Linked DNA regions of Arabidopsis thaliana. The protein of the gene in region 2 interacts with the protein of the main gene of each other region in a pairwise test. Each region holds a gene or a part of one and is shown on either strand. Other genes may lie near its edges.

The links.
Region 1: the proteins of CNGC18 (region 2) and WAK2 interact in a protein complementation assay, tested with the Arabidopsis thaliana proteins (one large-scale study listed by BioGRID).
Region 3: the proteins of CNGC18 (region 2) and NIP7;1 interact in a protein complementation assay, tested with the Arabidopsis thaliana proteins (one large-scale study listed by BioGRID).
Region 4: the proteins of CNGC18 (region 2) and FLA2 interact in a protein complementation assay, tested with the Arabidopsis thaliana proteins (one large-scale study listed by BioGRID).

The regions. Positions count from the first base shown.
Region 1 is NC_003070.9:7,441,857-7,450,500, forward strand, and holds WAK2 (wall-associated kinase 2), read left to right. Parts: upstream 1-2,892; 5' UTR 2,893-3,140; coding exon 3,141-3,972; intron 3,973-4,046; coding exon 4,047-4,217; intron 4,218-4,293; coding exon 4,294-5,489; 3' UTR 5,490-5,833; coding exon of another isoform or gene 5,834-6,547; 3' UTR 6,548-6,627; downstream 6,628-8,644. Other genes in the region: WAK1 (cell wall-associated kinase), read left to right, coding at 1-36; AT1G21280 (Copia-like polyprotein/retrotransposon), read right to left, coding at 5,834-6,547. UniProt on the Arabidopsis thaliana protein: Serine/threonine-protein kinase that may function as a signaling receptor of extracellular matrix component. Binding to pectin may have significance in the control of cell expansion, morphogenesis and development.
Region 2 is NC_003076.8:4,805,948-4,813,833, forward strand, and holds CNGC18 (cyclic nucleotide-gated channel 18), read right to left. Parts: upstream 5,147-7,886; 5' UTR 4,951-5,146; coding exon 4,486-4,950; intron 4,325-4,485; coding exon 4,112-4,324; intron 4,028-4,111; coding exon 3,717-4,027; intron 3,641-3,716; coding exon 3,529-3,640; intron 3,426-3,528; coding exon 3,189-3,425; intron 3,104-3,188; coding exon 2,321-3,103; 3' UTR 2,144-2,320; downstream 1-2,143. Other genes in the region: AT5G14860 (UDP-Glycosyltransferase superfamily protein), read left to right, coding at 1-887, 1,091-1,429, 1,621-1,812. UniProt on the Arabidopsis thaliana protein: Cyclic nucleotide-gated ion channel required for directional pollen tube growth into the transmitting tract. Acts as a Ca(2+)-permeable divalent cation-selective channel inhibited by either lanthanum or gadolinium.
Region 3 is NC_003074.8:1,839,700-1,846,893, forward strand, and holds NIP7;1 (NOD26-like intrinsic protein 7;1), read right to left. Parts: upstream 3,498-7,194; 5' UTR 3,236-3,497; coding exon 3,095-3,235; intron 3,013-3,094; exon of another isoform or gene 2,919-3,012; coding exon 2,694-2,918; intron 2,597-2,693; exon of another isoform or gene 2,581-2,596; coding exon of another isoform or gene 2,458-2,580; coding exon 2,260-2,457; intron 2,053-2,259; coding exon 1,991-2,052; intron 1,891-1,990; coding exon 1,689-1,890; 3' UTR 1,469-1,688; downstream 1-1,468. Other genes in the region: AT3G06090 (uncharacterized protein), read left to right, coding at 1,074-1,313; MKP2 (MAPK phosphatase 2), read left to right, coding at 3,818-3,907, 4,019-4,154, 4,238-4,358, 4,722-4,878; MUTE (basic helix-loop-helix (bHLH) DNA-binding superfamily protein), read left to right, coding at 6,832-6,927. UniProt on the Arabidopsis thaliana protein: Aquaporins facilitate the transport of water and small neutral solutes across cell membranes.
Region 4 is NC_003075.7:7,488,855-7,495,578, forward strand, and holds FLA2 (FASCICLIN-like arabinogalactan 2), read right to left. Parts: upstream 4,227-6,724; 5' UTR 3,956-4,226; coding exon 2,744-3,955; 3' UTR 2,373-2,743; downstream 1-2,372. Other genes in the region: NUDT7 (MutT/nudix family protein), read left to right, coding at 1-50, 153-187, 271-382, 482-703; AT4G12731 (uncharacterized protein), read right to left, coding at 4,324-4,506; AT4G12735 (uncharacterized protein), read right to left, coding at 5,149-5,331; AT4G12740 (HhH-GPD base excision DNA repair family protein), read right to left, coding at 5,724-6,139, 6,216-6,724. UniProt on the Arabidopsis thaliana protein: May be a cell surface adhesion protein.

The DNA.
Region 1 (8,644 bases), on a different chromosome or scaffold from region 2:
AATGTAGCAATATTGGACATTGAAACTGGCCGCTGATATTACAAATTCACATGTATTTCTTTTGTTTGTAAGAAAAAAAAAACTACCTCTTTGTTGCTTCATCAATAATGCTTTGCTTCATTAATAATGATTTGAAAGAATTTTTATAAATCATCAATAACCATGTTTGTAATTCCCATTGGTATACTAACCAGTAGCCAATCTGGTTATAGGCAAACTTAGAAACTCTTTTGCAAAATAGCAGATTACCAATATCAGTTCATAAATCTTATTCCATATGACATTGATGTTATCAAAAACAACTAGATAAGAAACACTAGAATCTTTACAAAAAGAAATGCATAACATATAGAGAAAGTTATGATCATGAACCTGGTTCCTAAATTCTTCATCTCCTGTATCTCTTCATCGTCAATTCTGCTCCTTTAACCATATTGTAAGCTTCGTAAAGTGGCGGAGGAGGTTTCTTGAGCATGATTGTTATCCTCACAACCTCAAACTCTTTGTTCAACCCCATCAAAAACTCGTAACGCTGCTCCTTCTCTCTCGCTTCTTTAGCTAGTTTCGTACTCTCGCAATTGCAACCACCGCACTTACACTCAGGTACAGGAGCATACTCCGACAACTCCATCCAAACTTTACTCAGTTTCCCAAAATACTCCTCAACAGAATCACCACCTTGCCTCAACGTCGCGAGCCTCCGACGAAGCTGGTAGATCTTCAAATCGACGCAAGGAACGAATCTAAGTCTGAGATTTTCCCACGCTTGATGAGCAGTCTTCGCGTACATCACAGACTTTACAAGCTCTTCGCTCATCAAATTCATCAGCCAATACTTAACTATTGTGTCGCATCGTTTCCATGGATGATAGAGCGGCGAGGAAGGTTCTGGCTGCGGGAGAGTACTGTCAATGAAACCGATTTTGTTCGTGAGTTCGAGAAAAGAGCGAAATCGAAATTTCCAGATGACGTAGTTGTCTTCGGCTTCGCTGAGTTTTTCGATAGAGAAATCGGAGGGTTGATTAATATCTGGAGGGAGATAATACGGTGAATCGGGGTCGGATAATGGAGATACGCTCTTGATAGTTTCCGCCATTGTCGTCACTGAGCTCTGCTTCTAAAACTCTAGGGCTTGCCCTTTTTTATCCCTTTCGATTTTGACTAACATTAAACAAATCATTTTCAAAATGAGAAAGAGAAAAAAAAAAAAAAAAAAAGATAAAGAGTTGGGCTTAATGGGCCTTGAGTTTCCCTCCGGAGCCCAACAAAGCCCCTAGGGAAGCTAGCGTCGATTGCAAGAAACGCATATGCTTCTTTCCAACGTTTTGATTTGTGGATACTAGAGAGGATGTCAATAAACATGATTGGTCCAAGCAAACAGTTGATCTTCCCTTCCCTTTGGTTGATATGAGTTCCCTGGCACCAACAAGGTTGGTGAAATCATTTCCCCCAAAATGTATACCACCCATTCTTCAACTTTCCTTCTTCATAATGGACTCATACACGATATGTGCGTCTCTATCTCACCCGAACCTTGTTTTTCTTCAAGGACCTTAATGTGTAAGAGCTTGACAGACTCTGTTTTTTTCTTCTTTGAATCAATATATAAGCGTTGGCTTTTCAACATCAAGCAAACTAGTTTTTTATCTTACCATTGATGATTTGCATTTTCTGACATGTGTTATTTCTTTTTATTGTTGTTCATATTTTGAGTGTTTTGTTTGTTTTTGCTCAGAAGGTATTATATGCACAAGATTTCATTGAACTGTATGCTGCAGATAATCATCGAGAAGCTCGTTTATCTATGAGGATTAAGCCATTGTGGAAGTTTTGGAAAACCTAATCTTAACTATCATTTGTCTTAACTACCAATAGGTCTAATTCTAAAAGACAGTGGAAATAAAAAAGCAGGGAAGAGAAGGGTTAGGTGAAGGTGGTCTACATAATTTGCCTGGAAATCAAGAAAAGTAAGAGAAGGATATTGGAGCGGACCATAGCACATGAAGATGAAACATTCTAATGGGGCTCCCATTTTAAAAGGGTCCCACAGAAATTTTATTGTAATTAAATATACATATATATATATATTGATTTTTAATAGGAGAAATAGTTAGTTTTATACATATTAATCTTAAATAATAGTGTGATCCAAAATATTTATAAATCTAACATACAATTAAATAAATAATTCAGAGTTTTGTTTAAATTGGTTTCTATTTACTCTATAGTTTTAAAGACAAAAGTACTTTGTTTTCGTAATTTAAATGGCCCGAATTTCATTGGTCCGGCTCTGTAAAATAATATTTACTATTGCAGATTCCTGCAATTATTGGGAAAATGGGGACTAGTCAACGGAAGCAAGTCAAGAGAACATATCAAGAATGGAGTGTGTTTTCTTAGCTTTAAGAAGCAGATGCTACGGAGAGATGAGAGAAAACTCAAAGAGAAACAAATTTAGTGAGACAAAGAGAGAAGGAGAAGATGAAGTTGCAAGAGGGTCTGATCTTGGTGGCATAATGCTTTATGACTCAAAATGTCTAAATGTGGGGAAAAAAACAAGTCGTAATAAAAGCATCATAAGAAAACAGAGCATGTTGTGATCAGGATTCAGGAGTCTCAATTCCTATATCGTCATTTTAAAAGGCAATTTTCATATTTTGAGCGTGAAATTAACTGTTAAGAAAAAGAGTAAATTTGCCTTGTAATATCGAGAAAAGAAGAGAGGACCGAGACTGAAGTTGACTTAAGAGGGTCTTCATAATTGAAGATTCCTTGCAAGTTGCAACTGTCTTAATCTTTGAATAGTAAGAAAATAAGTGTCACTGTTAACAAAATTAAATCGGTTTCCCCACTAACGAAAAAAATATCAAGAATGACGAGAAGACCAAGACCTATAGTTGTCACTGTTTAAATACTATACAGGAATATGCAGCAAACGTCCTCTTCACGCCTCATGGGTTACATTGGTTGTGTAGTTGAATTTTCGTCTTCTTGCATTATATGACAAAATGGGAGCGGGCCTGCGAAAATGAGTGAAGAGAACATTTCATATACAGTTGTTTCTAATAAGAAAAAGGAGATTAGCGAAAACTCAAAACAGGAACAAAGTTAAAAGAGTGAGAGAGAAAGAAAGAGAGAAGATGAAGGTACAGGAGGGTTTGTTCGTGGTGGCTGTTTTCTACCTTGCTTATACGCAGCTAGTCAAGGGGCAACCTCGCAAGGAGTGCCAAACTAGATGTGGCAATGTCGCAGTTGAGTACCCTTTTGGTACTTCTCCAGGTTGTTACTATCCCGGAGATGAAAGTTTCAATCTTACTTGCAACGAGCAAGAGAAGCTCTTCTTTGGCAACATGCCAGTCATCAACATGTCTCTCAGCGGCCAGCTTCGTGTTCGGCTAGTTAGATCCAGAGTTTGCTACGATAGTCAAGGAAAACAGACTGACTACATTGCCCAGCGGACCACCCTGGGTAATTTCACTCTCTCTGAACTTAACAGATTTACTGTAGTAGGTTGTAACAGTTACGCATTTCTCCGCACATCTGGAGTTGAAAAATACTCAACTGGATGCATATCAATATGTGATTCTGCCACAACGAAAAACGGATCATGTTCTGGTGAAGGTTGCTGCCAGATCCCTGTCCCTAGAGGATACTCTTTTGTCAGAGTAAAACCACATAGCTTTCACAACCATCCTACTGTGCATCTGTTTAATCCTTGCACCTACGCCTTTCTCGTTGAAGATGGTATGTTTGACTTCCATGCTTTGGAAGATCTCAACAATCTGCGAAATGTTACTACGTTCCCTGTAGTACTAGATTGGTCTATCGGAGACAAGACTTGCAAACAAGTAGAATACAGGGGCGTGTGTGGTGGTAACAGCACATGTTTCGATTCTACTGGTGGAACCGGGTATAACTGCAAATGTTTAGAAGGTTTTGAGGGGAATCCATACCTTCCAAACGGTTGTCAAGGTACTTTAACTTGTTTTCTGTTTTATCACTTCTTTTAATCGTTTACTTCATACATGCTCTTTTTCCTTGGCCAGACATCAATGAATGTATTAGTAGTAGACATAACTGTTCGGAGCATAGTACCTGTGAAAACACGAAGGGGAGCTTCAACTGTAACTGCCCATCTGGTTACCGCAAAGATTCCCTTAATAGCTGTACTCGTAAAGTCAGGCCTGAATACTTTAGATGGACTCAAATTTTTCTTGGTATGTTCCCCTCACTGGTTTCGGATACTTTCCTTTTAAAAAACTAGCTCTAATTACCTAGGTGTGATGTGATCAGGAACCACCATCGGCTTCTCGGTTATCATGCTTGGGATTAGCTGTCTACAACAGAAAATTAAGCACCGGAAGAACACAGAGCTCCGACAAAAATTCTTCGAGCAAAATGGTGGAGGCATGTTGATACAGCGAGTCTCGGGAGCAGGGCCATCAAATGTTGATGTCAAAATCTTCACTGAGAAAGGAATGAAGGAAGCAACTAATGGTTACCATGAGAGCAGAATCCTGGGTCAGGGAGGCCAAGGAACAGTGTACAAAGGGATATTGCCGGACAACTCCATAGTTGCTATAAAGAAAGCTCGGCTTGGAAACCGTAGCCAAGTAGAGCAGTTCATCAACGAAGTGCTAGTGCTTTCACAAATCAACCATAGGAACGTGGTCAAGGTCTTGGGGTGTTGTTTAGAGACAGAAGTCCCCTTGTTGGTCTATGAGTTCATTAACAGTGGTACCCTTTTCGATCACTTGCACGGTTCCTTGTATGATTCTTCACTTACATGGGAGCACCGTCTGAGGATAGCAACAGAAGTAGCAGGAAGTCTTGCATATCTTCACTCTTCTGCTTCTATTCCAATCATCCACCGAGATATCAAGACTGCTAATATTCTCCTGGATAAAAACTTAACTGCAAAAGTAGCTGACTTTGGTGCATCAAGATTGATACCGATGGATAAAGAGCAGCTCACAACAATAGTGCAAGGCACTCTAGGTTACCTAGACCCAGAATATTACAACACAGGGTTGTTAAACGAAAAGAGCGATGTTTATAGTTTTGGGGTCGTCCTAATGGAACTGCTCTCAGGTCAAAAGGCATTGTGTTTCGAAAGACCACATTGCCCAAAAAATCTTGTGAGTTGTTTTGCTTCTGCCACAAAGAATAATAGGTTCCATGAAATTATTGATGGGCAAGTGATGAATGAGGATAACCAGAGAGAGATCCAGGAAGCTGCAAGAATTGCTGCAGAGTGTACAAGGCTAATGGGAGAGGAAAGGCCAAGGATGAAAGAAGTAGCTGCAGAGTTAGAGGCCTTGAGAGTTAAAACAACTAAATATAAGTGGTCGGATCAGTATCGTGAGACAGGGGAGATTGAACACTTGCTCGGCGTTCAAATCTTGTCAGCACAAGGCGAAACCAGTAGCAGCATTGGCTATGACAGCATCAGAAATGTAACAACATTGGACATTGAAGCTGGCCGTTGATATTAATGCTCTGACAAAATCACATGTATATCTTTTGTTTGTAAAAAAAGAAAGTCATTTCCTTGTTGCTTCATCAATAATGCTTTGACAGATTTGTTTGTACATCATCAATAATCATGTTCATATTTTCCTTTACTTGGTATACTAACCAGTAACCGATCTGGTTATTGGCAAATTTAAAACTCTTGTGTTAAATTTTAGTTCATAAAAATCTAATTCCATATGAGATTGATAATATACAGATATAGCTTCAAACACATCTCAATAAGAAACACTAGAATCCCAAAAAAAAACATAGGCAAAGAAGAGAAAAGTTATGATCATAAACCTGCTTCCTAAATTCTTCATCTACTGTACCACTTCATCATCGATTCTGCATCTTTGACCATAGCGAAAGCTTCGTGAAGTGACGGAGGAGGTTTCTGGAACATGATTTTTGTCGTCACAGCCTCGAAGCCTTGGTTCAACTTCAACCCCATCAAAAACTCGTAACGCTGCTCCTTCTCTCTCGCCTCTTCAGCTCGTTTAGTACACTCGCAATTGCAACCACCGCATTTACACTCCGGTATAGGAGCATACTCCGACAACTCCATCCAAACTTTACTCAATTTCCCAAAATACTCCTCAACAGAGTCACCACCTTGCCTGAGCGTCGCGAGTCTCCGACGAAGCTGATAAATCTTCAAATCAACACAAGGAACGAATACACGTCTGAGATCTTCCCACATTTTATGAGCAGTCTCCGCGTACATAACAGATTCTAGAAGCTTATCGGTCATCGAATTCATCAGCCAATACATAACCATTGCGTTGCATTGTTCCCATGGCTGATAGAGCGGAGAGAAAGGGTCTGGCTTCGGGAGAGTACCGTCGATAAACCCGAATTTTTTCGTGACTCGGAGGAAAGAGCGAAATCGAATTTTCCAGGCGACGTAGTTGTCTTCGTCTTTGCTGAGTTTTTGGATAGAGAAATCGGAGGGATGATGAATATCGGGAGGGAGATAATACGGTGAATCGGGGTCTGATGTTGGAGATACGCTCTTGATAGTTTCCGCCATTGTCGTCGCTGCTCTGAGAGTCTCTCTCTGCTTCCAAATCCTAGGGCTTGCTTTGTATCCCTTTCGATTTTGACTTTTTTAGTCTCAAATAAAGAAATAATTTTCCAAAATAAGAAAAGTCGCAATTTTTTGTAAACAGTTGGGCTTAATGGGCCTTGTATTTCCCCTCCCTAGCCCAAAGTTTCAGGGATTACCTTACCCATTAAAGGACCCCGCGCATCATTGGGATATGATCTTGTTGGTCATTAATCAAAGCGTTGAACCTGGTGTCTTCACATGACCTGTATCTTGGTTTTGGAGGACAAGAAACATCAAAAACACGTAATCAGTTTACCAAAGCTCCTTATTACCGTGTAACCAAGGGACTTTGCATCTATGGTTCCATCTATTATGGTGCTTGGGCCCCTAGACTAAGAATGGATCCGGTGAATGGTGATTGTGTGTTTTCATGTTAGATATGAGAGGCTAAGTTTTATCAAAGTGCCTAGGGATGTTTTGGTTCGGGAGTGTGAATCAATATTGATAGAATACAAAGGGAAGTTAGCTTCCATTGCTAGAAACCCTTTAAGCTTCTCTAGTTTTGATTTGTGGATACTAGAGAATGTCAAGAAACATGTTGGTCCAAGCAAACATTTGAGCTTCCTTTCCCTTTGGTCAATATGACTTCTCCTGGCACCAACAAGGCTGGTGAAATCATTTTTGCCCCAAAATCTCTCCCACCCATTCTTCAACCCTTCTTCATTTTCTAGTACAATGTAGGAAAAAAGACATCAGAAGAGTTAGGCTCCATGGAATTGCAGACGAGAAAGAGTTTTGTCGCCGATGTGGACTCAATGACTCATACACGATATCTGCGTCTCTATCTCACCCGAACATGTTGAAACTATTGCCTCTTTGTAATGTGTTTTTCTTTAAGGACCTTAATGTAGGAGAAAGTGGGGACAAGTCAACGGAACCAAGTCAAGAGAACATCTCAAGAATGGAGTGTGTTTTCTTATATTTAAGAAGCAGATGCTTTGGAGAGATGAGAGAAACCAATTTAGAGAGAAAAAGAGAAGGAGAATATGAAGTTTGCGATTGAGGGTACAGGAAAGGCCAAGGATGAACGAAGTAGCTGCAGAGTTAGAGACCTTGAAAGTCAAAACAATTAAAACATAATCAGTATCCTGAGACAAGGGAGATTGAACACTTGCTCGGTGTTCGAATATTATCAACACAGGGAGATACCAGTAGCCGTAGTTATGACAGCATCAAGAATATTGGACATCGGAGCTCTGACAAATTCACACATGTCTTTTGTTTGTAAAACATGAATCCTACTTCTTTGTAATTGCCTCATCAAATTATGTATTGAGAGAATATTTTGTGCATCATCTATAGTTGTTATACTAACCAGTAGTCAAATAACCAAATTTAGAGCTCTTATGCAAAATTTCAGTTGACGAATCTAATTCCATATGACATTGATAATGTACCAATATGGATTCAAAAAACACGAAAACACTTCAAAAAGAAACACTATAAAAGCATAAAAAGTTAAAATCACGGACCTGCAAATTCCTAAATTCTTCCTCCCATTTTCCACTTCATCATCGCTTCTGAATACACAACCATCTCATAAGCTTGGTAAACAGACGGAGGAATCTTCTTGTGCATGACTTTCATTTTCACATAGTCAAACTCTTTGTTCAAACCCATCAGAAACGCGTAACGCTGCTCTTTCTCTCTCGCCTCTGTAGCTCGTTTCTCACTCTCGCAATCGCAACCACCGCACTTACACTCCTGCACAGGATCATACGCCTTCAACTCCAGCCAAGCCTTACTCAATTTCCCAAAATACTCCGCCACAGAGTCACCACCTTGCCTCAGCGTCGCGAGTCTCTGACGAAGCTCGTAGATCTTAAAATCAATACATGGAACGAATATACGTCTGAGATCTTCCCATGCTTTATGCACAGTCTCTGCTTGCAACACATGGTTTTGAAGCGTATCGGTCACGGTATTACTCAGCCAATGCAAAACAATCGCGTTGCATTGTTTCCATGGCTCATAGTATGGAGAGGAAGGGTCTGGTTTTGGGAGAGTACCGTCGATGAA
Region 2 (7,886 bases):
TTCCTCTCCTCCAATTCGCCCGTCTCCTCCTCCGTCACCGCCGTATCGTCTCCGTAGACGACGAAGAACCAACCATTTCCGTCACCGTCTTCACCACCCCAAAAAACCAACCATTCGTCTCAAACTTCCTCTCTGACGTCGCATCATCTATCAAAGTAATCTCCCTCCCTTTCCCTGAAAACATCGCCGGAATCCCTCCCGGCGTCGAGAGCACCGACATGCTCCCTTCCATATCACTTTACGTGCCCTTCACGCGCGCAACCAAATCTCTCCAGCCTTTCTTCGAAGCAGAACTCAAGAATCTTGAGAAAGTTTCTTTCATGGTCTCCGATGGATTCTTATGGTGGACATCGGAATCCGCCGCTAAATTTGAGATCCCGAGACTTGCCTTCTACGGCATGAACTCCTACGCATCGGCTATGTGCTCCGCCATTTCGGTACACGAGCTCTTTACCAAACCGGAAAGTGTTAAATCTGATACTGAACCGGTTACTGTACCGGATTTTCCATGGATATGTGTTAAGAAGTGTGAGTTCGATCCGGTTTTGACCGAACCGGATCAATCGGATCCAGCGTTCGAGCTACTCATTGACCATCTTATGTCCACCAAGAAAAGCCGTGGAGTTATAGTGAACAGCTTTTACGAGCTCGAGTCAACGTTCGTTGACTACCGGCTCCGTGATAACGATGAACCAAAACCGTGGTGTGTTGGGCCTTTGTGTTTGGTAAATCCTCCAAAACCGGAGAGTGATAAACCGGATTGGATTCATTGGTTGGACCGGAAACTAGAGGAAAGATGTCCGGTTATGTATGTGGCGTTTGGAACGCAGGCTGAGATATCGAACGAGCAGCTCAAGGAAATAGCATTAGGGTTGGAAGATTCCAAGGTACGTTAAAGAATGGATTAATGCCAACTTAAAACCTCATATTAATACAGTTGACCAATCACTTTTATTATTCCACCAAATTCCATGCATGTCCTTTTATTTGTTTTTGGTATCAACCCATAAAACATTTTTTAGTCTATATATATATATATAAAGAAAAGTATTGTTTTGTGAATTTACGTGGTCTTGATTGTTTTAAAAAGGTCAATTTCTTGTGGGTCACGAGAAAGGACTTGGAAGAAGTAACTGGAGGATTAGGGTTCGAAAAGAGAGTGAAAGAGCATGGGATGATTGTGAGAGATTGGGTAGACCAATGGGAGATATTGTCACATAAAAGTGTCAAAGGGTTTTTGAGTCATTGTGGATGGAACTCGGCGCAAGAGAGTATTTGCGCTGGGGTTCCACTACTCGCTTGGCCAATGATGGCAGAGCAGCCACTCAATGCGAAGTTGGTAGTGGAGGAGCTAAAGATCGGAGTAAGAATCGAAACAGAAGATGTAAGTGTGAAAGGATTCGTGACAAGAGAAGAACTTAGTCGAAAGGTACCGTATATATACCCTTTCATGTTTCCATCTTTTGTTTTAATTGGTGTCATGCATATATTAGAATAAAATGTTTTGAATATGGTAATCATGGCTTTGCTTTTTGACTAACAAATTAACAAGAAGGAAGCCTCTTTTTCCGTTTGACTGTAGAGTACCCCTTGATTGTATTTATTATTTGTACTATTTAGGTTAAACAATTGATGGAGGGAGAGATGGGGAAGACAACGATGAAGAATGTAAAAGAGTATGCGAAAATGGCGAAAAAAGCTATGGCTCAAGGGACTGGTTCGTCTTGGAAGAGTTTGGATTCGCTTCTGGAAGAGCTTTGTAAGAGTAGAGAGCCAGACGGTGTTAATAAGTTGTCAAGTTCTGATGCTTAGAGAGATTAAGGATTGGATAACAAAACGGCTTCGTACCTAATTTTAGTCATTAAATATGTTAGGTTTGTTGAAAAGTTGGTCCATTCTTCTCAATTGGATATGAATGACTAATTTGGAGTTCTAATTCTTGGTTTTGGTCTTATAGTTTCAAAAAATTTCAATTGCATTCAGTGGTTGCTTTATGAGATTTTTGCTATCTTTGAGGTTAATATTGGCTGGTCAATCCGAAGAAGCTATCAACACCTTAGTGTTCTTCTGAAAGACTTAAAAATGAGTTTGTATGCAAAAGTAGTATCTACTATGAGAAGAAATCAGACTATATAACATTGAGACAGTTTAAGAACAATGTATTTTTACTCTACACTCGTTTTCTATATCTAACATCCTCAAACCGAAACGAAAAGAAAAGAAAAATTACAAGTTGAAATAATTAAGGGAGTTTCCTAACTATTTACCATCTAAAACCAAACAGTTCACACAAAAGTTTTTTGCCCATAATGACTACACTTTAAACGTCTTCTTTATCTATAGAGAAATCAGGCTCATCTGGTTTGAATAGTTGAGGCATCTTCAAACTGGTGGAAGATCCATCTTTCTTACCAGTACTACTACTTGAAGCCTTTTGATTTGTTCCTCTTCTCGTGTTCGCCGCAAATTTAGATGCTAAGATCGTTGCTCCCAGATTTGTGTTGTCCATTGATCCGCCTTCCTCGTCACTTCCATAGTAATACTCTCTAGTTTCTTCGTCTTCTTCATTGTAACCTGTTTCATCCGGGTAATAGTATCCGCTACTCTCGTGAAGGCTGAGCTCTTTCGCAAGCTTTCTTCGCTTGTATCTTCTCCATGCAGATTGGACAAAACATGCTCCCCATGCTCTCCATTGATGTGAGTAGTACCTGAAAGCGTGTTGAAGCTTTTTGCTTTGAAGACGTTTGAACTGATGAGCAACAAACTTAAGATCCTCTGCGCTTAATGCAAAGGCTTCTACTTCAGAGAGGGCACGGACGCTTCGTGTTGAAGACGGAAGATTGAGTGTAGAGTTTGGCATTAAGGCCCATGTAAGAAGTTCTTCCCCACAGAAATCGCCAGGTCGTAGAGTAGTGGAGTTGAAGAAACCAGATCTTCCTCCATTTGTTGTTGAGCTCTCTATTTGTCCTCGGATCACAAATAGCATCTCATTCACCGGATCACCTTCACGGAATATGTATGTCCCGGCCGTGCTTAAAGATGAGACAAGGCATCCGCATATAGCATCAAGAAGTTGATCATCCATTTGAGAGAAGAACGGGACCTGCACTTACCACAACAATGTGACTTCTGAATTGAAAAACAATCAAATCCATAACAGTTTTTGATGACTGAGTTGATGTATGTACCCGGCGAACAAGGGAGAGACAAAGATGACGTTGGATTTCACGGCGTAAATCTGTAGGTAATGAATGGAGGATTGATTCTTCATCGACACCTCTGGTTGCAAGCCATTTGTATTGGACAAATCTTCGGACACGTTCTTGAAGCTCTGGAGGTAGTTGACGATGTCTCATCCATTCTTCAGTGTCTCTTCTCTTAACTCTCCATTCCTCAACTCTTACTGACATCGATTGCAGAGAAGACTTTCCACCAAATTAAAAATCATGAAGTCTATTGTTAGAAAGACAAAAAAATGTCTCTGTATTGAAAAGTTTTGCAGAGTGATGCATAAGCTCTGAATCTTACTTGCATGTTACCAATCAGGAGTGTGAAGAGAATCAACCCAAAAATACAAATTGTTATACAGAACAAGGTCTCGCCAAGGTATACACTTGTGGTTATATTCTGTCCATAAGAACTGTGAAACAAAACCTTTATTAAAACCAAAGGAGGACAATTTAAGCAGATACTGGTTAGATAAAAGGTTGTCATACCTTAGATTTCTTAAACCCCACCAAAGACAATACAAGTACTTGGACACAAAATCTGTTGTAGCAACTTGAGTGGTAAAGGCTTCAGCAAACATTCCGAATTTGAAATTGGTAGTGCTGCTTGTAGCATCACAATGAGAAAGGACCTGAGTAACGTTCTGCCAATACTGGCGCTCTGGTTGTTCTAAACTCTTGCAATCCAAGAAGCTAGGAAGACAATCCAAAACTCTCAAAGCGTTGTCTTTCTTGCATACGTTGGACCAGCACGAAAACTGCCGCCCGATTGATGACAGATACCACATTGCTCCTAACACCTGCCCACAAATAGAGATTCTTAGCAACTTAAAACTGAAGAAACCTAAAGATTTGAAAAAACACACAAGATAAAGAAAACTTACGTGACTAGCAAGGATGTACAATAGGAGGTTGTATGCAGCTCCTGCCCAAGCAGTCTTGGCGATAAACCCGGTTGTTTTGATAATCCTTTGGTTGAGTGGGAATATGATGAATGATCTTGGAATGTATTGAACAAGAACGATAAGTGCGAGAGTGCTATTGGCATGATTAGCAGTTCCATTTGTGGCCGCTGGAATTACTAGCCAAATAACAAGCTGAGATCAAAAGATAGTCAGAAACAAAGCATGAGGCTCCCAAAATATCTCTGTTCTTTAATCTTCTAGCTACCGCCTAACGATTTTTGAACATTGATCTTAGCTAATCGTAATCCATATCATTGCTTTCACATTCAAAATAAGAGCAAAATCTTAAGAACCTGAGGAAGGGGAAGCATGGCGGCGACATCAATGAGGAAATCTGTCTTCAAGTATCTCATAGCAATCTCTCTAGAATCCATAACAAGCTCACCGCGACCAAAAACACGAGAACTCCTCGCGACGAACGCAGTTCTGAATTTCATGAAAATGTGCAAGAGGTGGAAGATATCGGCGACTGTACGGAAGAAAGTGACAGTAGCGGCGAGGCTGATGTCGATGGAGAGACACGCCGGACCACCGACGTAAGGGACGTAGAAATAGAAAGGATCGAGGAAGAGAGCGAGGATTGAGGTAATGAGAAAGACGTGGTTCCAATAGGTGACGATGTTGCTGTCCGGGTCCAGGATCTGATGCCGCCATAGGACGCTGAATTGGCTACCGTCAGATCCTCGATTTGAGGCGGCGGTGGAGGCGGAGGTTATGGTCTCCGGGAGGAGGCAGCGGAGAGACCGGATTTTATTCATCTTCCATGGCGGATTCCGGTGTTAAATCGGATTCCGCATTAACACAGAGAGAGATTGAGATTGATGGACAGAGAGGCTAGGTGGTTGCGTCGTGTGATTTTTTGTTTTTTTGGGTTTTTGCATTTTGTTTTTGATGATTATGGAAGAAGGAGAGGATTTCTCGCGGGAAAACTGAGAGAAGGGCCATGGAAATAGGGGGAAGGGTAGTTTTTGAAAATATGATGGGAGAATGAGGGTATTTACGGAATGTTATAGTTGCGGGTCTCGTTTGTTTATGCTGTTTTTGTGTTCTCAAAACAGCACACGTTTTGCATCTCAAAACTTCAATCGACACAATATCTACTGTTCTTAGTTGTTGGACCCACCGGCCCAATAGTTATAGATCGGCCCAATAGTTATTTTTTTCTACTTTTTTTCTATGAAAATCAAAGGGATATATACTATATATGCTTTAGGATTTTAAAATTACACATTATAATGTATACAATTGCTATGATCATTTCTATTGATAAACTAATAATGTTTTTAGTAGTTTTAACTTAAAGTCCGGTTTAATATTGTTTAGTTCAATTGTTCAAAGAATAAAAAAAAAAATTATAATTAATTCGTAAAACCATGATAAGATTAGTTAAAATATCTAATTCGTTATGAGGTTCATTAGAATTTATTTAAGTGAATTATTGAAGTTTTATGAGCTACATTTATTATATTTTGTCAACACATTAAACCCGTAATTCAATTATACTGTCTTTTGTAGTATTTCCGTTTTTGACATCAGTTTAACAAATTGTCTTACATAATTCATTTGTTGTTGTTATGTACTATTAAAAGTATATAGAAGCACGCGTACCAAACATTCTGTGACAATATGTGGTAGTGGGAAGATAGTGTACATGCTTGTTGACACCATCCATAAGATAGTGTACCTATAAAATAACAAAAAGGGAATAGAAATCCTTAGAAACAATTATGCGAATATAAAAGGGATAATAAGAAGTGAGAATAATAAAATGAATACTGAAATTAAAAATTACGTCACGGAAAAATGATGTTTATCCACACAAAAAGAACAACAACTTCCATCATATCATATAGAGGGACATACTAACTTTTCCACTTCCAAAAAATCACACTTATGCGTAATTGTTTTCTCTAACAATAATGACGTATTTTAGTCCTTCAAATTTTAGTACTCCATCATTTTCCGATTAGACACAAAGTAGTAATTTCAATATAAAAAATTAATAACAAGCTTTTATAAATGATTATGATAACTTATACTAACATATGTGACAATATTGTTTTCTCTATGCTTGTTAAACGTAATTAAGAAACAATGATGTTAATTACTCCAACTAATTCATGGATCTAGAAATACGATGTTGGTTAAACATTATTATCGACTAATTTATTACTTCGTTAATGGCTGCTATTAAGTATGACCACGTGTGGCAGATTTGAGATGTTTAGCGATCTTTAAATATAGAATCCGACGGGATCCAATTCTCCTCTTTTTTTTTTATTCCACTTTGCCACTGTGATTATATAATAAGTATGATTAATTAAGAGATTTACATTCTATTGATTTACTTTATTATTTTATTCATGTGGAGTAGACTATACGACAACTACTTTATCGTTACTTTTTAATTTTATTTTTTAGTGAAAATTTGCTAGTCAAGTTTAGAAAATTCAAAATAGCATTTCACTTTTATATGCACGATTGATTTCGTTGCTTATATTAAGATAAGGAAAACAAATGTTACTCTTCCTAAAAAAATTGTTCTTTGAGAATACAATTTACGTGTTCCTCTTTTCAATAAAGTCGCTGGTGTTTATGAAACACACATTAGAAAGAAAAAAAAAAGATTTAAAACATTTATGAAGATGGCAAAGGTTCCCACTTCCCATTGTAGGAAGCAACAAATTTCCTTTTTGTTTGATTAATATAAATGCTTACGGGACGCAAGAAGAAATTTCGTGATCGTGAACATATTAATCATTTGGGACCCTAATGAAAAAGACTAATAAAATCTTTTGTTTTATCGAATAAAAAGTAGATTGTAGTTTTGTGAAGTTTAAAGCACTCGCTTATCAATTGTTTTATCTAAAGAAATAAGATAAGCTGCTTTCAAAGTGGTAAGAGTTAGGTCTTGATAAAAAAAAAGTCTTGAAGGTGGTGCCACACCAAAATCCTTGCACCTTTCTATTACATACACACGTGTATAGAGATTTTTAGTCATATCTTTGAATAAATAATCTTTGGATATATGTATAGTGAATAATTTGTGGGTTTGAGAGTTGGAGAGGATGAACTACAGGTCACGTAATATACCCTAAAATAAACCATCACGAAAGAATAGAATAGAGAATCTCTTGGTACTATCAAACAAACAATAAAAAAAAAAAAAAGTAAAAGTGACGAAGACACCAATCTATTCATTTCCCACCCATCTCCCATTAATATTTCTTTCATCTCTTATTATTTTTTACATGCATATTTTTCTATCTCTAACCTTTTGTTTTTGGTTCACTCAAAATTTGTGGTACTTTGATCCACATATAATATTTGCATATGTTAGTACGGTCTTATATAATAGCCATGTGATAGTAAACCCTTTCACAACATACAGTAAATATACCTAGTATATATAGTTTCAACGGTTCAAGATTCAAAATATCGTCTTAAACAGCGACCAGATATTCTTGAACCTCCAAAACGATCTAATTTTAATAAATTGGTGAATGAAATCGATTTATTAGTTTAAGCTTTTAAAATCGGTTTTGATCAATCAAATCGGCCTAGTGTGAAAAAACAGAAATTTTTCTATTTTCTTTTTTTTTTTTTTTTTTTTTTTGCAGCGAATCTATAATACATGTAAAATTAACTAGTGTGAAAAAATGTTACAAAGATCTTACGTGAATTTCGACACAAT
Region 3 (7,194 bases), on a different chromosome or scaffold from region 2:
ATCGGACTACCGTATCGTGTGTTTTTTTAGTCCACAGTTCCACACCTTATTCGAGTATAGCTTTTCGAAAACACCCTGGCTGAACCTATATAGTTTATGCATAATTCATAAATGATTGATTCTTCAGATGAGAAAGAATCTTCTAATGATTTTTACGAAAACACATGATTAAATTGAAGAAGCTCGAAATTAGACTCGGGAGCCGTCCATGCCACTTGTCTTAAGGTTTTGTAACACATCACATGTCATTTTTTCTTGGGGACAATGAATCTCATGACAAACGAAGAAAGAAAGCTAGTGAGAATATATTGCGTAATGGTCAAGCTCAAATATATATTCGATTTTAATGTGCTTTATATAATATATGCAGAGAGCATCGTAAATACTTTGCTTAATCAAAAATTTCTGTTAACTTTTTTCTTCTTGTATTGACTTGCTTGAACTTTAAAAGTAGTGACAACGTAGCAAACGGATCTCGTTGTTCAGCTTTGATTTGATCAATTAAAGTGCTTGCAATTGCGTTTGAGTTTTGCATTACGAAATCAACAACTTTAAAGGTTTGCTTTAGAATTTGCGATTTTGACAAAAAAGATTATAATATACAATCTTCTGGTACTTTTCAAAAGGAAAATTTAGAACACTTTTACTCAAGTCTCAAGTTAGTGAGTATCCTCGCATCTAAATGATTTAGTTTCTTCTAATGATCGAACAATTTCTCGAGAGCACCATCTAAATCTGAATACATTTAGTTGGAATGAATCATATTTGATCTAAAACACATGGTTTAAATTTCTGCAAGACCGCAACCAGACTCAGACATATCATGATTTAATGAAATTTACTTTAATTCTTAAATTAGAAGTTCTGAAATAGCATTAAATACAAAGTAGCAACCTAAACCTTACTATTCGTAGACTGTTTACTCACTCAGTCAATAAACATTTGAACCGTTTAACTAATTATGCATTAGCTCTCATAGAACAAAAGACCAAAAATCTATAAACATGCATATATACACGAATACGAATCAATGTTGAGAATCTATAGTTTAAGTAGTAGTCGACACTAAGAACATGAAGATGAAGAAGCTTCTTAAAGTTGTGTTTCTCTTGGTCGCTTACTTAACTTGTTCCATTGCCATGGCTAGTTACCATGGTTGTAACAGGGTTGCAGAGAAGGCAACGAGAATGAATGTAGTCGGAGAAGATTCAAGAAATGAGTTTGGAAACTACGAGGAGAAGAAGAAGAAGGCGAATTTGTGGTCAGGTCGAAAGTTAGCTTCTGGTCCAAGTCGTAGAGGTTGTGGCCACTAAATTTTTAGTTGGGGTAATAATTTAAGATATTTAATTTCATTTCTCTAATTTATGTTTGTTGGTATCGTTTAGTAATATGAGTATTTTAGTGGGTTCTTATAACCTAATGAAAGGATTTGAATATTCATACGAATTTCGCTTCACTATAAAATATATGTGACTAAAGATTTTTAATTGCGTTCATTTCATTGTGTAAAAAGAACAAAATGCCCCCTGTTTTCATTTGCTTTACCCTCTATATCTTCAATCCGATAAGTAGCTCTCTGTTTTCGCATCACGGCATCTAATGACGTAATGACAAAAACTTAAAAACCTTAACCAAGAAAAAAAATCAAAAGTGTTTATTTGTATAATAGATATTAGGTTTTGAAGTGATTAACGTAAAAGTGAAGAAACGGAAGGGGAAACTGGAGAAGGGCAAGGCCTGGTTTTTAGGCTAATTGATCTGTATGTCAAAACTCCGATTATGGCTCCGATCACCGGAGCTGTCATGTAAATCCATAAGTCTTCAAAATCCCATGCCACCACCGCCGGTCCAAGTGATCGAGCTGGGTTCATCGATCCTCCTGAAATCGGTCTAACCATACCATATTCCACAAAACGTTAGCATTATACGATCACATGAAATAACTATTTTCCAATACTTTACGGTGATAATGGAGTTTTAAGTTAAGTACCCGGTAATAAGCACTCCAAGGGAAATGACTGTTCCAATCACGAACCCCGTCAAATTACCCAACTGCACAAAATAACATATAAAATTAAATGCATATAAGTTTTCTAATCAGAGAGTTTGATTTTTTTTATTTTCTCTTTGGAAAGAAATAAAATTTCATAATTAAGAAATAGCATGTAAATGTCACATTTTAGGTGTTATTCTTATTAGAAGATATTTTTTTATAACAAGCGGACTAGAGGAGTAACGAAGATCGATTTGGTCACTTACATTTTGATGAGGACCACAATGCAACGCGGAGGCGAGAAACACGACGATGCTCGTAGCTATGAGTTCAACGAAAAATGCAGAAACGCAGCTTAAAGCAGGTTTTGTTGCCATAATGTCAGCGTTTACTCCGTACACTGACACCCCAACTAATGTTGCCGCCGTTGCCCCCAATGTTTGCGCCGTTATATACAACGGAACCTGGCATGTGACACAACATTCCAAAAAAGAATTTTCAGTTTTCATAAAAAATAATTTGTAAACGTCCAAACAAAAGATTAAGTTTTCTCGTCTCATCTTCGTTGATAAATGAAAAAAACACATTATTTGATCTTGGTCTAAACGCTAAGATAAACAAAAACAAACGATCAAGACCAAGATAATTCAACTACAATTCTTAGTTGGTCAAACGCCGTGTTGAGATGGATGCATTATACCTGAGACCACGGGAATCCGCCAAAGACAGCGAAAGCAATGGTGATGGAAGGGTTAAGATGGGCGCCAGAGATGTGTCCGATGGAGTAAACTACGACCACCACAGATAATCCAGCGGTGACGGCGTACTCTAGCAATCCCACGTGGCCGCCGGATAATTGGGTACTGCTTATGACCCCACACACACTGAACATTAGAATGAATGTCCCCACCAATTCCGCCATTACCTAAACATTAGTCCGGAGATACTATTAATTAGCATTTTATTTCTATACAAACATTTTAATATTTTCAAAAAAATTATTTGTAATTATGGACATAGCCAATTCTTTAGTTTAACACAAAAGTATTGTGAGATATTAATCTTGTTGATTCTATGATTTTGTGTATATATGAAGCTTACAATGCGTAGGGGATTGAGATCTATATCATAAGGGAGACATCCGAAAAGCCTTTGTCTCGAGGGATGATCTTCATCTCTCAAAGTAGATGGAGTTGAGCCAGCTTCTTGGTCGACTACTCTTGACCGTGCCTCACCATTCATCTTCTTAATTCCTTCAAGATATAGTGATCAAGAACTGAGGAAAGTCACAATCAAGGTGGCTTGATCCGCTTTATGAATGATCTAATGGAACAAAAAAAGAGAGATAGAGAGAAAAACGCAAAGAAGATGGAAATTAAAGAGTAATTATTTTATTTCAACAAAAAGAAGAATTAGTAGAGTGCTGCTATATTCCTTTGGTTAAGCAGTCTGAAAGGAGAAGAGGGTGCTCAACACTTTTCTTGTGTTCAATTTTCACTTCCTACCTACCAATATTTCTTAATGTTAATTTGGTGATTTCTAAGTCATCTATTTATTTTAATCATCTTCATTTCATGTGTAAAAAGGTTGACTCTCTTAAATCTTTTCACTTAAAAAAACAAACAAATTGTTGCACCAGCCGGGAATCGAACCCGGGTCTGTACCGTGGCAGGGTTCTATTCTACCACTAGACCACTGGTGCTTATTGATTCATCTATCCGAACTAAACTATTAAATATTAATTACGAATCTAGGGTTATTTATCTTTCTGATTAAGAGTTTTCGTCTGTACAAGTGGAATTTTGAAAAAAGAAGCAGAGAGCGATGGAGAAAGTGGTTGATCTCTTCGGAGTCGGAGAAGCTAATTCCCAGAAGCTACTCGAAGGAGGCAAAGATCTCAGCGAGATCCAACAGGTTTTCTTCGTTTCTCTTCTCTATCTATCCGTCTAATTTCACACTTGGAATTTCTCAGGTTTTGGAGTCTTTAATTCCGAAAAATCGTTTGTTGGATGAGTTTATTCTCAGGGATTGTTCATAGGATCAGTAGCTGAAGCGAATAACAAGGATTTTCTCAAAAGCTCTAATATCACTCATGTCTTAACCGTTGCTGTGGCCTTGGCTCCTCCTTATCCTGATGATTTTGTCTACAAAGTCATTGAAGGTTGGGTTTTTTTTCTTCAATCCTTAGCCTGTTTTTGAAATTTTTCGTTTAGAGATTTTATAAACTTGTTCTTCATCGTGTAGTGGTTGATAGATCCGAGACCGATTTGACAGTATATTTCGATGAGTGTTATAGCTTCATCGACCAAGCTATTCAATCTGGTGGTGGTGTTTTGGTTCATTGCTTCATGGGAATGTCTAGGAGGTTTTGATTCTTTTGCCCTTAAATCTCATACATTCAGTTATTAGATTTAGTGTTTAAGAATCATCAATGTGAACCAATTGCAAATTATGTAACCATATCAAAAAAGTGTATATAAATTGCCAACTGAGTAACCATAGGAAACTACAGAGACTCAGATTGGCAAAAGTGTATATGAATCTTGTAGTTTGCTTTGATTCTTTTATAGCTTGCTGATTCTGGTATTAGTAGGAGTTATGGTAGTGAACAGATTACATTTTGTTGTGGACAAATTAAGAGTTTTTCTTGAACCTGTAATTTGCTTATTGTGTCGTTCTGTTATATATATACTTACACAATTTGATTGGTTTGAGTTTTTCTTTGAAGTGTGACTATAGTGGTGGCTTACCTGATGAAAAAGCATGGAATGGGATTCTCTAAAGCTATGGAACTTGTAAGGAGCCGACGACATCAGGCATATCCTAATCCCGGTTTCATTTCGCAGCTCCAGCAATTTGAAAAATCCATCCAAGGTAATGCATGATTGCTTCAGCTGATAAGAAGATTCAAGATAGTGGCATGATGAACTCTCATGAAATTCCGGCAAGTGTCTTCAGCCCCATGTTGGCCAAAAAAGTTGATTGGTTTCGTGCTGTGAAGGATTTTTTCTTGTGAACTATTGATGGTGAGCACTTTGCCATGTCCATTAGCCAATTGAAATGAATGAAAACGCAGAATTTACATTTCCTCTGTTACTACAATGAATATATTTTCTAGGAGGATCAGTGTGAATTTAACCAAACCAATCCCATACCCAAACCAGACTGAAAATTGGTTGGTTTGGTTTTCGACCCTTGCATTGAATGTTAACCGATATCTTGATCGAACGTGAGTTTTTTTTTTTTTTTTTCTTGTTTCATTGCCTTGTCGATCAATATTGTATATAACGTGATAGACCATGAACAAATTGAATATCGAAGTAGGAGTTAGATTTCTTTACTCGTAATTAAATGGGGCATGCACCTTGCATGTCTTATACGTATTGTAGCCTAACATTTGCGGCTACAAACATTTGTCACCAACATTTTCATTCCAGCTGCTTCCACAGTTTTGGGACTTCGGAGATAATGTATATGTGGATATGCATATATGAACCATAAAAATAAACGTTTGTCCAAACAAAACCACAAATAGAAGTGTTATCCAAGTGGGTTTGTTTCATAGAAAAAATATTGTCACTATAGCAATTTTTTTGGTTAGGTTAAACCTTATTTAATGAAGTTTGTAATATGAATTGAGATATTGTTAACTTTGCAAAACAGAGCCGAAATTTTACGAATATCTCTTTATTAAAAATAAATAATATAATTTAAGAATACTTCTCGGGAGGAATCTTAATGAGCCGTCCAGGTAGCTGAACAACTGAACTTTATCTTTGCTCCAAAGGTTATATCAATTTATGTTTTCTTGTAGAACCTATATTTCATGCAAAAAGTTATCCATTAACCAATGGAAATTGGTTCCGACTAGTGATCAAGGAAAATGATGGAATCATCACGAATGAGAAATTTGTGGTATTAAATGACATAGTGATTAAGGAAAACAAAAAGTTGTAATTCAACTACAAACTATGTCGTAACTATTTATATTTTGTTACTTGTCAATGTTGTCATTTATCTTACAAAGTCAATAGGATAGAAGATGTGAAACATAATTACACAAAAACGATGTCATATAGAAACATGCGAAATCACATAATCATTTCATCACTTCGAAATTTCGTAGATTTCCAATCAGATACTACCCAATATGTTTGCTAATAGTAAGTAGTAAAAAACATATGTTACGCCAAAAAAAACGGCTTTTGATGTACTTATTTTCCTTCATCGATCCATGAAAACTGTAAAACATCTCAATACAAACTAAACCTTTCCACCAGTATATGTCCGATTCAATGTTTTTTTACTTTGTGTATGTATCAGTGTATTATCTGTTAATAAAGAGTAAAAGAAATCCATTTTTTCTTGTGAGGACACGCGGTAATTAAGAACAAAGAAGTGGCACAAGTGTAGAAATTAAACTAGAAGTAAAAGAAGGTGGTGCAAAGGCATGCACTCTAAATGAAAATACGATATTGAAATTCATAAAAGACCTCACGCAGTGAATGTAAATGTAAATGTATCCAACTTCACAAACGTGACGTATCTTTGTGTATGCATACCTTTTTCTTTACGTTGTTCTAATACATATCGATAGTAATAAGAGAGAGAAAGAGAAAAATCAAGAAGAGACAAAAGAATGTCACGAGACAGCGACATAGTGCATTTATGAACCTTGAAAAGAAATTCTAAACCCTAATTATCACTTGTTGTTGCGGCTGTATAAATACGACTTTGTTTTGAAGAATGTGTCGAACAAAGTGAAAACATAAGATCATCTTCTTCGTTGATAGATCAATATAGGAACTCCAGAAGAGAATCTTGATCAATTAAGTATCATGTCTCACATCGCTGTTGAAAGGAATCGAAGAAGGCAAATGAACGAGCATCTTAAATCCCTTCGTTCTTTGACTCCTTGTTTCTACATCAAAAGGGTAAATTTCATATTTATCTGTTCGATCCCTTCATAGTCAATTAGCTAGTTTGGATGATATAGAAAAAAGAACTCAATTCACAATCCTAATTATTTTCTCGAAGAGATTGGTATTTTTTTAATGATCGTTGCTTTCTTTTGTTGAAGTTATTTCGTAGAGGTTGATTCAAGATTTATTCCAATTTATTTATACAGACAATTGAACCTTCTCAAATTGCTTATTTAATAGGATCCCAGATAAAATTGTGCAGGAACCAAAAATCTCTTA
Region 4 (6,724 bases), on a different chromosome or scaffold from region 2:
GCGAGGATATATGGACTGGAGTAGCTAGGGAAGTGGAAGAAGAAACTGGAGTAAGTATCTGGCTTTCAAAAATTAAGCATTTCAATCATAAGGATCTCTTACTTGACATTCTAATCTAAAATTTGTGTTCTTCTCTTGGCTTTTCTCTTCAGATTATTGCAGATTTTGTCGAAGTACTGGCTTTCAGGTAACTTAAATTTTATTGCTGTAGACACATTGATCTGGCTTAAACGCATTTGTTCCTCATTGTTCAACTCTTTACACTCTCAGGCAAAGCCACAAAGCCATCTTAAAAAAGAAAACAGATATGTTTTTCCTGTGTGTCTTAAGTCCGCGCTCTTACGATATTACTGAACAAAAATCTGAGATCTTGCAAGCTAAGGTAAACCTTTCTAACTTTCAGTGTTGATGAGCCAAGAAAATGTTAAAAGTTACTGACATATATTTCAAATTTAACCGAAACTGGTATATTGTATTACAGTGGATGCCGATCCAAGAGTATGTAGACCAACCATGGAACAAGAAGAACGAGATGTTCAAGTTCATGGCTAACATTTGCCAAAAGAAGTGTGAGGAAGAATACTTGGGATTCGCCATTGTGCCAACTACCACATCATCTGGTAAAGAGAGCTTTATCTACTGCAATGCGGATCATGCCAAGCGCCTTAAAGTATCGCGTGACCAAGCCTCTGCTTCTCTCTGAAAACATTCTCATCTGATTCTGTTTGATCTCGGCATGTGTGTGTCCAGTGTGTACAAAACAGGAAACTTTCTTCTATATTATTCCGATTCTACAAAATTGCGTCTAAATATTTAAGTTTATACCATCTCTATGAGCCACTGTAAAACTTGCCATCGACTTCTAGTCTATTTCCAGTGATGGTTTGATTCTCCCAACGCTTACGTGCTTTTTAAAGATATGAGGCTTAAGAGTGTTACCATACACTTGGTTTATTCTTCCAAAATATCTTCTCGTAACCGGTTTTAAGTTCTCAGCTGTATCGTCTCTTGACCATTTACTACACTGGTAAATGGTGTGAATCCAAGAAAGTGTTAATGCCATTAAAAAGGTTCACATTACTTTGTATATGTACACCAATTTTTGCGACTCGTTTGTACTGTGTGCCTAACGTGAAAAAGATAAGGCATATATGGGCTTTAGCCCCAAAAAAACTTTATAGGCCCCATATTAAAATTATAGTGTATTTATTTTTCCAGAAATAGAAAATTTATTGTAACATGGAAACATCAAAATTTAAAATGGAATAGTTGCTAAAAATACTTGGGTTCACCCTTCACCCCCTTATATTCACCTCTTCTATTTTAATCAATTAAAATCTGACATTTAACAATAATAAAAAGAATTTAATTTTATTATAAAATCTAATTTGCCACTAAAACGAAATTATGTATCGGTTTGGATTTATTAGAAAAGGTTAGGGTTTAGATTTTATGATTAAACGAGGTTAAATATCGGTTTGGGTTTAGAAAGTACGATTAGGGTTTAGATTTTACAATTAACCAATTAAATATTGGTTTAGGTTTATAAACAGATTTAGATTTTACAATTAAACGAGGTTAAATGTCGGTTTGGGTTTTGAAAATACGATTAGGGTTTAGTTTTTTCTTACGATTAAATGAGTTTAAATGAAGGTTTGGGTTTACAAAGGAGAATTAGGGTTTAGATTTTGTAATTAAACGAGATTATATATCGGTTTAGATTTATAATTATAGCTTTAATTTATTATGTAATTTAAGTAAGATTTGACATGACATGTTTTTATTGGTTAATGCAAAAGGAGGTGAATAGAAGGGTGAATAAAGCTTCGTTCAATAGTTGTGGCATTAAATGTTTTGAAGTTTTGCACATTACTTAAAGCAATAAAATGTCTATTTTAGTATCCTTCAAAATAATTACATTTGTTATAAAATAATTACATTTCTTACAAGTAGGTACTAACAAAATCAATTTTTATCTCACACTAAATTTCTTAAATACATCCGATTTTTATTTAATAAGTTAAATCATGATTGTTTTTTTTAATTACACCTAAACCGCAATTTGTAAACCGGATTAGAGATTAACTAAACTTACATGTCCAAAACACTATTAATTATGGATTGATGGAACAAGAAAGATCTAGTATATCTAATAAGAATATCACCACATTAGGTAGGAGCTGATAATACAATTTTTGTTGGAGATGCCCAACCTAGAGATAGAAAAACATTTAATCCCTCTTAAAGCCCTTATTACTATGTGCAATGCAACACATATGGTTAAAAGATATTACGACATTATAATCGGAAGTTTGAACTAACACTCATTTTATCTCGTATTATAATCTTTGTCCCTATTCTGATTTCCTCTGTAATTGAAAGTATACTATATTTCATATTAGTGTAGTTACGATGGAGCATCATCATGGGTCAAATCCAAGCGACCACAAAGGATGTAACATGCATCTTACAGCTCACAGCCTCACACTATTTCGACTACCACCGACACTATCTTTATAGATACACGTGATTCCAACGTACCAATCACTCTTTTGAATGATCATCACATTTTTTTAGAATAAAACATATCAGATCCAACACAAGTGGAACAATTAATTATTCCAAATCTCCACACCAAGTATCAACGTGAACAAAAAAAAGAATATGTAAAATAAATTAAACCGACAGATCACAAAGAAAAAGGAAAACAAGATTCCCAAAGCGAGGTAAATGCCACGTCACTTCACATAAGCCAAACTCCGAAACAGAGCCCGACAATGGCCGTTACGACATTACTTGTTCGAGTAATCATCGCTGATACGGCGCCGTTTTTATCGTCAGCCACCTCAACATCATCATCTGACGGAGCATCGGCGCTAGGTCCGTCGGCGTCAGCCTCCGCGTTCTTAGGCTTTTTCTTACTCGACTTAGGAGCTGGAGCGGACGTCTTAACGGCCTTGTAGATTTCTCTAGGCAACAACACTTTATCGATCTTGTAAACTATCAATGGCTCTTGATCCTTTAACGTCCCCATTACCTTCGCCGTCACAACGTCCGTCTCCAGCGTCACGTCTTCTCCGTCATTTTGAACGGTGAAATCAAACTTGTTGTTACCTTCCGTCGCTAACGTGTTAACGGCGCCGTTACCTGATCTAAGCATTTGTAACGACTGGTAAACCGGCATGCCGTGGTAAAGCACTAACGCAGTCTTGTTCGCCGGAGAAAGGGATTTGAATTTCGGCATGAACTTACCGACAGCGCTGTCGGAGGGACAGAACACCGTTAAGCCTCCGTCTACGGTATCTTGGAACGTTTTGTCGGCGCCGGTTGACTTCAAGATGTCGGAGAAAGCTTTGCACCCTTGTTTTTCGAGGATTGTGGTGAGGATGAGGTCGCTGGGACTCGCCGTGGGAGCTTCTGCTTCCGGCGAGGTTAAGACTTGGCTGATGTGAAGAACAGAGATGTTGTAAGGCTTTTCAAAGACGGATTTGACGTAGTGAGCTGTGAGCTTGCTATCGTCGTCTTGGACACCAAAAGCGACTTTACCGCCTTTTATATCGGTGATGTTGATGTATCCAGAAGTTCCGGTGGCGGATCCGGTGGATTGAAACATGGAGGCAGTGGAGGTGGAGCCGTCGGTGATCTGGTGAAGTTTCTTGGTGCCGAAGTAATCGACCAGGACGTGGAGAGAGAGAATGTTGCGGATTTGGTAGAGTGAGTATCCGTTAGAGAGGATGGAGGACATTGCTGAGTTATCGACGGCCAAGACGGTGATTGTTTGCCGGCGGTTGATCTCGTCGGCGAGATGAGTCGCTGAGAGATAGTGGTTGAAAGTGGAGAAATCAGGGTCTTTGGCCAAGATTCGGGTTATGTTATGTGCATTTGAGAGAGAGAGAAAGAGATGGAGCTGGAAAATGAGAACCAATGCGGTGGCTGCTCGCCGGAGATAAGCCATTTTTGGGTGGAGGATTGGGCGGCTTTGATAGAGGAATTGTGTGGTAGCATTTGGAGAGGAGTCTTATAATAATGAAAGATATATAAAATAGATTATATGAACAAAGCTGTCTCGCATATTTCCAGCGCAGCAGCAGGTAAGTGGGCTCTACATAGCTTGAGTCTGGGTCACATTTGAAAGTAAGTGTCGACGAGAGAAACACATTAGTGTTTAGGAAATATTAAGGCCCGGTTCAATATTTTATTCGGCTCTAGGTACATACGTAGACATGACCAAAATTTAACTGTAACAGTATAGTATATTTTTATTTTTACCAATTTTAGGTATAATTTAAATACCTACAAAATTTAACTTTCATCTTCGTATTTCTATAAACGGGAAAGGTTGGATCCTATTGGAAAGTAAGAGACGACGATCGTGGGAGCTCTTGGAGACTTGGTTTTGCTTTTCGGTTTCTTGAAAGGCAAGATTTTCAAGTTAGCGTCGGTTGTGTTAACCCGTGAATCAGATTTTTGGACAAAGCAAGCCAAGAAGGGTGTGAAGAGAGACATGTTTGGAGTTGTAAAACTTAAGTGCGAGGTTTTCTATTAATTTGAATCTTGGCCTAAAGTCAGGCCGGTCCAAAACTAAAGCTTGTAAAGCATAATTATAAAAAAAATTAATGACATCATTTTACAAATATTTATAGTGGTAGAGTGGTTTTTAAACAAACCACTCCGCAACTGACCCTGATATAGCAATTGAGTAAACATATTTTCTGTTTGTACTATAATCGTTAGAATCAATACATGTTTTACTCAAAAGACGATTTGCCGTTGCAAATGTTATTAACACTGCATAAAACGAAGCAAATGATAAAACGATTACAAGATATGAGTAAGCATGTGAGTTTATAAGATATAATTTGCTGCTAAATATTTTATTTCATTTTCAATTAAGTAAGAAAGTTTTGACTAAAAAATAATATTTATATCAATAAATAGTTATTCTGTCTCTGTGCCACTGTATATACATAAACTTACCCAAAACAAAATCATCATTACAAAAAAGTGTCGACCACAAGCAGAATCTTTCATTGGTCTATTACATAGATAAACAAGATTGGACTGGATCAATAGTATCAGCCTCATATATTTTCTTGGTTGTGATCATAACTACAGAATTTCACTTTTATCCTTCCTACTTCCTAGTTCCTATAGACGAGAAAGGTTGGAGCCTACGGGAAAATAAGAGACGACGATAGTAGGAGTTCTTATGGACTCGGTTTTTCTTTTGGGTTTCTTCAAAGACAAGACTTCCAAATTACTGTCGGTTGTGTTAATCCTTGAACCAGATTTTGGAACAAAGCAAGCGAAGAAGAGCGTGAAGAGAGACATCCTTGGAGGTTTAAAACTTAAGTGTGAGTTCTTAAGTTAATTTGAGCTTACTATACATGTCAGATAATGTATATATAAGGGGATGGTGAAGAAAGTCACTGAATCTTCTTTGTACACGTCTCTTTTTTGGAAAGTGACATTATAACTTGGCGGCCAAGCTTAATAAGTGAATAGTTTCGTTGTCCGTTTTAATTATGCCTTTTGACAAGTCTTCGTACGTGAAGTTCAAGGACTTTTGACTCTTTATGTAAATCATTTGGAAGAAAGAGTCCACGCGATTATATGAATCCACTGACTGAATTTATTTCTGGGCTTAAGTTGGGCCTTAACAATCCATTTTTTTAATATTTGTTAGCCCAAAATACATAATCAACCCCTGGACTCTGGAGGGATCACACATCACCGTCACTTTTCTCAGTAGAAACTAAGCTGTTCAATTTCAAACCAAGATCACCAAATTTGATTCCCAATGCTAGACAAGAACTATAGAAGCTAAGCAACATGAAGAAAAGTGTGAGAAGGAGATCATGAGAATTTTCGTTTCCTCGATATGGCTGTTCTATTTGATGAGACATGAGAAACAGATAAGCCTTGCTTGTGTGCTTCAACCATTGAATACACCTGCACTCCAAAATTTGTTCCTTCTCAACCATCACATCCAAGGATAGTCTTTTAATATGTTGAAGACGAAAAGGAGGTACCTTTCTAACAGCTGATGTCAGTCCCAAGGTAGAAAGAACATCACTGCTCACACACTTCCATGTTAGAGTGTCCTTTGCCTGACCTTTGAACAGATCTTCGGTTCCGCCTGTAACTTCTTGTTAGTTTCTCTAACTATATGTAAAAAAGAGACCTAGAAAGAAAGAGATAGATAGTGGTCAAACCTGTAAGTTGTACAACTAATAGCTCCACATAAACTTTTCGACGAATGTGAGTGAATATGTGGACGAATTCTCCGAGTTCTTCTCTTGAAACTATAGTGCATGCTTTCTTGAGTTCTACATGAAAACGAAATGCTTCCTTAAGGTAGACGTTTATTGCGTTCCTCCTTGTTGCCGAATCAGCTTCCTCATTTAATATAACAGATGGGAACTCCCAAAGACCAGCAAGCAGACCTTGTTCGGGTCTTTTTACAAGAACAAATCTACCTCCTGATTGGTTCCTCTCCAGATTATGTATCTCCAAAACACAAACGCAACAAAAGTCGTGCCTTGGCTTGGCCTTGATTACTTTTGTAGGATAATCTGTCACGGAAATCGTTCTGTTTTCCTCGGAAAGTGAAAATGCACGACATTGGCTGGAAACAGGACAAGAAGAGCAACTTGGCTTTGATACAGTGCATAGTGTAGCACCAAGCTCCATCAGAGATTGGTTGAAATCTCCAGGGCGTGAA